Linked DNA regions of Neodiprion lecontei. The protein of the gene in region 1 interacts with the protein of each later gene in a pairwise test. Links are inferred from orthologs where the notes say so. Each region holds a gene or a part of one and is shown on either strand. Other genes may lie near its edges.

Region 1 (6,535 bases):
CAGGAGGTGGCAGGGGCGGTAGGTGCTAGTAGGAGGTGGCAGGGGGTGGTAGGAGGTGTTTGAAGGTGGCAGGCGGGGTTAGGCGGAGGTTGGAGAGGGCAGGAAGTGTTTGGCGGTAACTGGAGGTGATCGGCGGTCGACGAGGAAGACGTGGGTCGGGGGGTTGGGCGAGTACGAGCAGGAAGAGGGGGGGGGGGGGGGGGAGGACGAAGGTGGGTGGAGGTGGTTGACGGCGGTTGGAGGTGCTCGGTGGTATTTGGGGTGGTTGACGGTGGATGCGGTGGTCGTCGGAGGCGGTTGGCGGTGGACGCGGTTACGCGTCTCCTCACGGGGATCATCGAGCTGATGAACATTTCTAAGTCGCAGTCAACAGTCTTACGTACTCACTTTGTGCCGACTCAATCTCAAGCTTCCATACCGACACTACTTTAGTTGCTAGGAATGTCGGCGAGAGCCCGTTAGATAGAGTCGATAGAGCAAAACCCTTCTACGGTCCCAGGCCCACCCGGGCTCACTTGGCCGCCAAAAACTGGTCACAAAAATTTACCTAGGGGTAACAGTCTTTATATTCTTCAACGTAGTGGAATACAATCGATTTAAATTTTAGGATCCAAACCACTCAGGCAGTCCATTAGGGTGTTGAACGTAACTTGATCTGTAGGATTTCATTTTGATATTTTATTACGCATAAGTTTTTCCAAAATGCAAGGTTGATACAGAAACGGTAAGGCGGACAATACAGGCGCGAATCAGAATTTTATTTTCAATTCTCCACGTGCAAGGCAATGCTCGGAGCCAAACAGATGAACGACATGTACAATAGTTTACTTGTTTTTTTTTCCACTTCGAATCAAACCATAGTGGTGAATGCTCGTATGACAACAAATATGTCGTATTGAAAAATCTTTAGTCGTCCTCGTCCTCTTTGGTGGCCTTGAGGCTTCCAAAAACTTTCGATGGAATGGCTTGTTTCTCTACCGGTACATCTAGAAAAACGAGACACCATCAAACTGGGGATATTCGTGTAAGAGGAGTTTCGTTCCTAGTGAACAAGAAGATGTAATACTATACCCTCTTCAATTTCTTTCTCCTCATCTTCACTGTCGTCGTCCATGTCAATGTCTATTTCATCTGGATTGTTCACTTGACGTTCGGACTTTCCAGCTCCTTCAGTTACTCCTCGTACAAATTTGATATTATCTTTGAATCCGGGTTGCGCAGCAGCATCTGGAAGGAGGAACGATAATTAGACATGAGTCATTTTACAAATTTTTCTTTAGGTTCGTACACTTAACCAGAAACTGACCTGTACTGGTTGAGGGTATCTTGTTGTCCAAAAGTCGCATAGCGTCACCGGTGCCAGCACTGTCATCGATAGAGAGATTTGTCGCACTGTTAAGCATCTGTGCTGACATCATGTTTACTTGGGTGTTGTACATTGCTTGCACGCTTCTCTTGATTCGCAGCATTTCCCGCATCGTGTCCTCATTGCCGTGGCGGACTTCAAACTCTTTCCAAACTTGCCAGAAATTAGACGTTACCTAAGGAACAAGAACCACTGTGTTACTTATTTGCTGCTCGTACAGAGCATTGAGAAAGATAACTAAAATAAAGTTAAGCAATTCGCTAACCCGGGGATCGCATATTTGACTGCAGTGAGCGTAAATCGCCCTCGCTCGATCGACTTCACCGAGCTTAGTTTCCATCTCTGCAAACCGGAGACACATCTCCCGCGTATTTTCTTCATTCAGAACTTCGATCGCCTTTTCATAGATCTGCCGCGTCTTCGGCACTCCGTATATATCAGCGGCTTTCTTTATGTATATGTTGAACATCTAAAAGGAATGAAAAATTGAAAAAACTACGCCCAACAAACTTTTACCTATTCTTTCGAACACCGTTACCCACCTCAAATCTTTCTTCTGGTAAAACAGCGCTAGTCGCTCGCTCGTATACGGACATCGCGTGCCTTGCTAAGCCATGTTCCTCTTCCAGTTTCGCGTACAGCAAATAAAGAGCTTGATAAACAAAAAGAATTTAAATGTCGTTTAAAATCAAGACGGACAGGCTTTAGGTAAAATTTGGTATACCTATTCAATTTTAGAACAAACTTACCCTTCGCATACTTTGGTGGGCAATGTTCCAAGCATTGTTCAAACAGATCGCGAGTTCTTTCCAATTTCGTTCCCTCGTATCTTTTCAGGAATTTGGTGAGGTACGTGTTCCATATGTCATATACATTTGGCCACTTAAACAGAGCAATACCCTTTTCGTAGGCCTGAAAGAAAAAAGCGTAAACGTCGAATATTCCGCGATATGTAGATACAAGGTGTATTGCTACATGCTGAGAGAAAAAGAAATATCCACCCTGAAGGCTTCCTCGAAATAGTTATTCTCCTCCAAAAATAGACCATAGTTTATGATGATCTGCGGCGTCGCAATTTTGAGATCTATGATCTTGTCATACACAGCCTTGCACGTCTGAAAGACGAAAATTCATCTGTAATCAGCAACTCAATGTTGACCAGTTTTATTGACAATCAATAGATATATTACATGGTGTACCTTGAATGTACCAAAGCTCTCCTCGAGATCAGCGTACATGGACCAGACTTTAAGTGACTTGTACAATCTCATTTGAACGGTCTCAGTCTCGTCGTGATACGCAACTTTGCGTGAGGGCATGGTGGTTGCCTTGTGCATAAGCTTCAAGGCCTCTTTGCAATTGCTAATTACAAGAAAATGGAACACCATAATTACAGTAAATTCCTAAAATGGAATTGCAACTATTTGTAATGATCAATACTTACTCGTGCCTGATCTCCATTTCGGCCCACTCGCACCAAACGGAAGCAAGATCATCAACCTTCGTGTATGCGACGTGCGTCGCTTTATCGAAAACAACTCTGGCATCTGCGATCTGTCCATTCTCTTCATAGAATTTGGCAAACGCAACCCACAGTGTGTGCAACTTGCCAACTGCCTGTTGTGGCAACACCGTTTGAACAGCCTCTGTATACGTGTTGATTATCTGAGAAATTTCATCTGTTAGTGACTTGATCAACCAAGCAGAGATGTTGACGTTTCTTCGACTTTGGTTACCTCATGAGGTTGCCCCTCATAGAGCATGACTCGTTTGTGCCATTCTTGAACGTTGTGCGGATTTTGCCTAAGCAGCACACTGTTCAGCAACAACAGTCTTCTCTCCATGAGGTGTTCAAATCTTGCTAATCGAAGTTCGAGTTCAATGTCATCTATAAAATCATAGAAATTGTAGACAATAGATAATCTCACTTGGGTCAATGAGCCAAGTATTTAAGACTTACCTTCTTCGGTTGGATTGGGATTTTTGGCAGCATCCTCCATCCTCTTGCTGAGGCTGAGTTCCTCAAACTGGGCATACGCATCAAACACTTGGGTAAAGTCCCTGACAGTGGAAACTGTCTGGATTGCTTCTTCGTAGATATCTCTGGCCTATGGAAAAAACAACCTTTTGGTCCAAGTACAAAGATCTCGTTCACTGTTTTGCGAATTGTAAAAGATACTTACGCGCTCAAAAAGGCCACTACGAACGTAATAATCAGCCAATGAATTCCACAGTGGACCCAACTGATCAGTATATCGCCTCAATCCACCTCTGATTATTGCATCAACGTTCAAGGATTTTATTTTGGTAGGATTCTTTGATATAAGGTCGCAGAGCTCGTTCCACAGCTGGTGGTTCGATTTACCATGCTTTGACACAAAGTCGTCCTGGTTTACGATTTGGGCTAATTTGACCGCAGCTTCGTCCAGTCTTCCCGTCGATATCAAATACTCTATGTATTCCTCTGCATCTTCTGGAGCTAACTGCAACCATGTGACTTAATCCGTGTAGTATTTGAGTACCATTTCATGTTAGTATGAAAATAAATCGATCGGGGAGTACTCACCTTCAGATATCTCCTGAAGACGCGTACAGCTGTTTCATATACATTGTGTTTCTTGAGGAAGCCAATGTAAAGTGGCCAGACACGATGATGCTGCGTGATGGGAAGAGCCCGAAGCGAGCGATCGAATACCTGACGGGTCCTCGTGATGTAACACTGATCGGTCATCAGGGTGCAATAGTCCATCCAGATTCGAGGCATTTTGTGCATGAATACAAGTGCTCGTTCAAAAGCATTGTTTACATCCTCGTAGAGCGGGTCTGTCACGCAGCGTCCCTTCAGCTGTTTTACCCTCTGACGCAAGTAGTTATACCATAACTTGTAGCTATAAAATATTTTCATTTAGTGATCGTTCAAAGTATAGAGCAACTCTTTGCTCACCTTCCCGGCAGCTCCTTCAAGGCTCGTTCATAGACAATATTGAGGTTAACGCTCTTCGTGCTCTTCAAGTGATCAATGTAGCGTTGCCAGTGCTTAACAGAGTAAGGATTCCGCAGGATTTCCTCCTCGTAAGGCAGATCCTCCTCATTCTGCGAGAGATAACGAAGGTTGCTGATTTGTTTTTTGAGGTTAGGTTTAGTTACCGAAAATATTTAAAGGTTATACTCACGAAGATGTAACTATTCCCATCAGAATCCTCTCGCTGCATCATCTCTGCTCAAGTAATGACTAGACCCGGCTTTTATTCTCTTCAAATTAATAACAATGCGACATAACTGTAACACGTATAGCGTTGTATAGCACGACCTAACTTAGCAAGTAATACCGCGTCAAACAACCCGAAACTACCAAAATGATACAGACGCAGACGGAGCAGACGGGGAATCGTTGAGTTGTTTCCGAATCTATTGTGACCGTAAAGACACCAGAGGACGGCAGTCCTATCGTCGAATGTCAACCGTAGGAATTGGGATTGAACAGTTTCACCTTCCAAATTATATCTCGCTTGCAATGAAAGCAGCGAAAACCAACCTTCCGTGCTGTTTGTAAAATAATTCTAGTAGTAGAGGTAAACAAACACACTTTGAATACTTTCTCTTCCGTTTTATCATGGAATTACCAGCTACATCGTCTCTGCAATTAGATGCGGATTATACACGTACACTTCTACATGCACCCGACTATCGATTCCTCTCAGCTCCTCTTAAATTCATTTTTATATATTATTTTAAGACTTTAATTCGTCCATCACCAATAATTCACGCATTACTTAGTAAAAATGGCAATTAAACAAGTACAGACAGCAATTATGGAGTCAAAATGCGTCACCTTTGGTATTTTGATCGCTTAATTATTATACTCTTGCTGTAATATGCGTGTATACTTTACATGAACCATGCCTACTGTGAGGATGACTCATACAGTATAAACAAGGGTGCGTATTTCAAACTTATAGAATATGGATAAAAGCTGCTTTCCTCTTCTGCAAGCCTCTTTATCGTATATCGAAGAAAACTGATGCATTCTGGCATTATGACACCAGTTTGCAAGAACGAATAGGTATAATAGAACAGCGAAGAGATGTTAAAAGCTCGTCAAAACCTTGAACGCGCGTCTATAACGCACTTATTTATAAACGCAGCTTTGCGTAACGCGCGCGCTGTATGATATTGTCTAGCGCGGGAGGGCAATAATTATATGTATATCCGCGTGTAAGAACTTGCACAATTATTTAAACCACGATCTCGCCACCGCTGCCGCCGACATACGTTTATTCTGGTGGAGCATCCTTCCGCTGCTGCTGTTCATCTCGTTTTTTCTCGTCGCCGACTATCGGGACAAGGCTTCTAATCTGCTGATCGCGAACACGAAGATCAACCACGCTCAGGTAAGGTGCAACAATCGAGGTACGTCGGTTAGTTGCGTTCGAATTTGCACCTGCGTAACGCGAGGTCTCGCGCCGATTTGGGCACAGAATGATAATCATCAGCTTGTAAGCCGGAATAATCATGCCTCGCAACGGTGCTCTGTAATTTTTAATGTAATTGCTCGAACACAATTTGTTCAGTTACATAACTTGACCGGCCTCGGGATTTTTCAATAAATTAAGAACACGCGTGCGATCGTCGAACGTATAAATTCATGCGAAAGCGAATCATCTAACAGCCGGAATTGGACGGATGCCAGTAGATCGTATAATTCAAAAATAAAATTCTCCTAGCTGTGCGAGTTATCAGCTCTACTCTTATACCGCTCGTGGTTCAGAAACCCACGACTACTGACCCAGCTGTTGGTTTTTTAGGCGCCGAACCAGGAATCACACGTTAGCAAAAAATCGAGAAGGATGACTGTTACACTGTGGGTCGTCGGCGGTCCCGGATGCGGGAAGGGCACCCAGTGCGAGAAAATCGTTGCAAAGTACGGCTTCCTTCATCTCAGCAGCGGTGATCTTCTTCGGGACGAAGTCGCCAGTGGCAGTCCAAGGGGCGCCCAACTCCAAGAGCTCATGTCCCAAGGCCTCTTTGTACCATCCGTAAGTTGCGGGACATTTGGCCCGAATTCCTAAAGAGTTCTCTTTCGTCTTCTCGTCTGTCTTCGGACAACATCAAATCAAATTAGCGCGTTCTAGTTGCAATATGAAACGTTGCATATGAAGTCAAAAATAT
Region 2 (4,347 bases), on another chromosome or scaffold:
TATTTCAGCTACTGGGAGTCTACTCAATTACCAAGACGAGTTTACTAGCATTGTGTAAAACAGTAGCTGATGATCTTGCATCGGAATCAATACGGGTCAACTGTATTGCTCCTGGCATAATAAAAACAAAATTTTCAACACCGGTATGTATCAACAATATAAATATGCAATCAGTGAAACCAATTCAATTGTTGATTAAATATTGTCTAAAGGTGAATTAGTTATCCGGTGAAAATTTGTACATCTCGTGAACAATGTATAAATTTATGGTCAAAATTTATAGCTCTATGAATCCGAGGCAGCACATGACTTGGCCATGTCAAAAATCCCTCTGCAAAGATTAGGAACTACAGACGAAATAGCAGGAATCGCAGCTTTCTTAGCGAGTGAGGACGCATCTTACATTACTGGTGAAACTATCGTCGGAGCTGGTGGCATGTTATCAAGACTCTGAGAAGTCTACATCAAATATCAACAATATAAATTTTGCATTGTCTGACTCAACACCCCAGAGTCCATATTATTCACAGGTAATTTTTCAGAAACAATTTTAGAAAAAAATAATGATAACATTTACAAAAATACATTTGTTACATGCTTTTCCCCGAATTATCAAAGTTAACAAGGATTCTTTCTTTGTATGCTTGGCTTCATATTATGCATTATATATTATGTATTGATGAGAGTGCTCATTATCATCGCTATTTTATCGGCTAAAAAATTGGGATACTCTTTGAATTTATACAATGTATTATAGAGTTTATTAGAAAGCTATAATAAAATAACATTTTTTTATCAGTTAATTATGTCAGCTCGCCACAAGCTGTGATGACCACTTTTTGAGTAGGGGTACCTCCTTTGGTTCCACATTTTTCCATTTTTTTTAATACATCTAATCCACTAAGAACGTGACCAAATACGACATGCTTTCCATCAAGCCAGTCCGTACGTGCCGTGCACATAAAAAATTGAGAACCGTTTGTATTAGGGCCTGAATTTGCCATTGACAAGGTCCCAGGACCCGTATGTTTGAGCTCAAAGTTCTCGTCGTCAAATTTATTTCCATATATAGACTTCCCTCCAGTTCCATTATGGTTTGTGAAATCTCCACCTTGGCACATCTGTTTTATAAAAATATTAGTTTAGGAAAAAACCTTTTGTTTTTTCTTTTGATTGGTGTCTGGCTTGAAAAAAAATATGGGGTGTTTCAACCGACACTCAAAGTCAAGGATACGAAATCTGGAATGATTCTGTGGAAAGTGCTGCCCTGATATCCATATCCTTTTTCATGTGTGCAGAGGCAACGAAAATTTTCTGCAGTTTTGGGAACAATATCAGCTCTAAGCATCATGATGATTCTGCCCAGCTCCTGTTTTCCTATACTGACATCAAAGTAGACCTGAGGATTTTGCTTTCCTTTTTTTGCTGGAGGTCCGCTATCAACTTTTGCCGTAGAGTCATCAGTTTCTAGTGTCTCTCCAGCATGTTCCTGGAGCCAAGTATCATCTGCCCAAACTGGCTTAGATGAACCCTCCTTTATCTTTTGCGGTTTGGCTATGTTTACTCTTATGGTTCTGCCAAAAAGCTCAGAGTCATTCTAGTGAATGAAAAACACAAGAATAATAAATTTATTAATTTGTCTCTCACTGCCTCTGATTATATCGTTTATTAGTCTTTTTGTACCATATTGTCAATTGCTGAGGCAGCATCCTCAGCAATTTCAAACTCTATGAATGCAAATCCTCGGTGCTTCTCAGATTCGTAATCTAGTGGTATTTGAACATCGACGATTTCTCCGAATGGTATAAACGCGGCGTGAAGCACCTTTTCGTCTACTTCCTCAGCCAACCCACCTACGTACAATTACATTGGTCGCAGGAACATTGAGGAAAAACAACTTACACTATTAACCTAACCTATTATAAATTCATATCTTTATTTCCTCAATTATATGATATTTGAACATCAAGTGAATGATTAACCGAAGAAAAAAATAACTCGGGTAGTGGAAAAATAGAAACAGACAAGATAATTAGTACCTTCGAGAAAATACAGAAATCGAGCGAGAATAATTGAGGTTAGTTTCATTCAATCCAGTGATTATAAAAATACAAGGCGAATCATACCGACATATATAGTCCTCTTCGCGTTGTTACTCATTTTACAATCGAGATCAATCTGTCGTCTGCAGATAAAAGTCAAACAACAACGTGTTAATAAAATTCGTTCGTAAACATTGTCTGACGCCGGTAAGACGCACTGAGTGTTGTCAACAAGTCGCACTGCTTGTCGCGCAATTACAAGCCGTCGCCATGCAAAGCGATCATTAAAATTCGATTCCAGTAAGACCATATCAATCCGAACTGGTGTCGAGTTCCGAGAGTAGACTCGGTAGAATCATGCTGGCGGCTTATTAGTACGAGCAAGGCTGTCCTCTTTTATGCAGTTATAAGCGTCAGTGCTTCGAAATTCGAGATTCGAACCCGGTCGATCGTTTGGGGTTCATAGCGTTTTTAGAGGGATTACGTAACCCGACGAATCTGTCTCATCATAATAATCCGATAACCGGGTAACAGTTAAACATGTTTTCCCTAATGCGATACAGTCAGTGGCAACATTGTTGCAGGCGTGCACTGAGCATGCTGCGAAACCAAGCCTACGTTGGCGGCGAATGGCGAAATGCCGGTAGCGGCGAGACATTTGAGGTGCTGAATCCCTTCGACGGTTCGGTAGTCGGCAGAGTCCCGGACATGAGCGAGTCGGACGTGAAGCTTGCTGTGGATACAGCGCAGCGAGCCTTCACCGTGGGGGAGTTCAGCAACACGACGGCGAAGGAACGGAGCGACTTGCTGCGCGGGTGGTATAACCTGATGGTGAAGCATGCGGAGGACCTGGCGCAGATAATGACCATGGAGAGCGGCAAGTCCCTCGCGGAGTCGCGGGGCGAGGTAAAGTACGGTAATTCGTTCGTAGAGTGGTTTGCTGAGGAAGCACGTCGCGTCAATGGTGAGGTGATCCAATCGCCAGTGCGCGGTAGAGAGGTCCTATTGCTCAAGCAGCCTGTTGGTGTTGCGGCTCTCATCACTCCGTGGAACTTTCCGCATGCTATGATCACCCGAAAGGCTGGAGCAGCATTGGCTGTTGGTTGTACTTGTGTCGTTAAGCCTTCTGAAGAGACTCCGCTGACCGCTCTGGCGCTCGCTAATCTGGCAGAACAGGCTGGGTTTCCAGCTGGCGTCTTCAACGTTGTCACAACCAGTCCCAAGAACTCTGCGGCTGTTGGGAAGCTCTTGTGCGAGGATGCGAGGGTCAGGGTGATGTCTTTCACAGGCTCAACAGCTGTCGGGAAGATCCTCTACAGACAGTGCGCATCGACAATTAAACGGCTAAGTCTTGAGCTCGGGGGAAACGCTCCATTCGTTGTCTTTGAATCAGCTGACATTGACCTCGCTGTTGCTGGTGCAATGGCCAGCAAATTTCGCAACACAGGACAGACTTGCGTTTCTGCTAACAGGTTCTTTGTTCATGAGAATGTGCATACTGAATTTGTCGATAAATTTGTTTCTAAAATTAACTCTGATATCAAGATGGGCGATGGAAGTCGAGAAGGGATTACCAATGGCCCACTGATCAAAGAGTCACAACTCAAGATGGTCTCTGACCTGGTCAATGATGCCCTTACAAAAGGAGCGAAGCTCCACTGTGGAGGCAAGCCTTTACCTGAATTAGGCCCTCTTTTCTATGGCCCAACTGTCCTTACGCGTGTCACCAAAGGAATGCAAATTTACAACAAAGAAATTTTTGGCCCTGTCGCTGTTATAAACAAATTTTCAAGCGAGGAAGAAGTTCTTAGGGAGGCAAATAATACACCTGTCGGTCTTGCAGGGTATTTTTACTCCAAGGATATATCACAGGTTTTCAGAGTCGCAAGGAAACTGGAAGTAGGCATGGTTGGGGTAAACGAAGGGCTTATTTCGTGTACAGAAGCTGCATTTGGTGGCATCAAGGAATCTGGACTGGGAAGAGAGGGTTCTCACCATGGGATCGACGACTTTGTAGATGTAAAGTACGTCTGCATAGGAAACGTTGCCTATCAGTCATGAAAGTTATCTTAAGCACCTTGTGAGCATTCCTCAATGAGTCCAGACACTATGAGAACGCGACACATTCACATACTTAATTCGATGTCAATTTGCAATATCTACAAAAAAGATCGATCTCAGGGCTAGAGCTTTCAAGAAAGACAGAAAAAAAAGAACAAGAAAAAATGTCAGTCTTTGGAAGGCAAGCTTTCGATGATTTTATTCTTAGACAATAAGACAGAGTTAATGATTTTTTATTTTCTGT

Evidence for each region.
Region 2: the proteins of pre-mRNA-splicing factor syf1 homolog (region 1) and peptidyl-prolyl cis-trans isomerase E interact in a two-hybrid assay, tested with the Caenorhabditis elegans proteins (2 studies listed by BioGRID). The link is inferred for Neodiprion lecontei from reciprocal best matches to the Caenorhabditis elegans genes syf-1 and cyn-13.

The regions. Positions count from the first base shown.
Region 1 is NC_060264.1:23,215,735-23,222,269, reverse strand, and holds pre-mRNA-splicing factor syf1 homolog, read right to left. Parts: upstream 4,876-6,535; 5' UTR 4,734-4,875; intron 4,719-4,733; exon of another isoform or gene 4,646-4,718; 5' UTR 4,582-4,645; coding exon 4,540-4,581; intron 4,460-4,539; coding exon 4,311-4,459; intron 4,255-4,310; coding exon 3,933-4,254; intron 3,850-3,932; coding exon 3,550-3,849; intron 3,475-3,549; coding exon 3,327-3,474; intron 3,255-3,326; coding exon 3,103-3,254; intron 3,032-3,102; coding exon 2,811-3,031; intron 2,729-2,810; coding exon 2,566-2,728; intron 2,482-2,565; coding exon 2,368-2,481; intron 2,279-2,367; coding exon 2,116-2,278; intron 2,019-2,115; coding exon 1,909-2,018; intron 1,836-1,908; coding exon 1,632-1,835; intron 1,542-1,631; coding exon 1,307-1,541; intron 1,228-1,306; coding exon 1,072-1,227; intron 987-1,071; coding exon 907-986; 3' UTR 738-906; downstream 1-737. Other genes in the region: adenylate kinase isoenzyme 1, read left to right, coding at 6,214-6,402.
Region 2 is NC_060262.1:20,669,936-20,674,282, forward strand, and holds peptidyl-prolyl cis-trans isomerase E, read right to left. Parts: upstream 2,353-4,347; coding exon 2,127-2,352; intron 1,854-2,126; coding exon 1,684-1,853; intron 1,598-1,683; coding exon 1,235-1,597; intron 1,122-1,234; coding exon 804-1,121; 3' UTR 739-803; downstream 1-738. Other genes in the region: dehydrogenase/reductase SDR family member 4, read left to right, coding at 9-143, 284-454; 3-sulfolactaldehyde dehydrogenase, read left to right, coding at 2,583-4,103.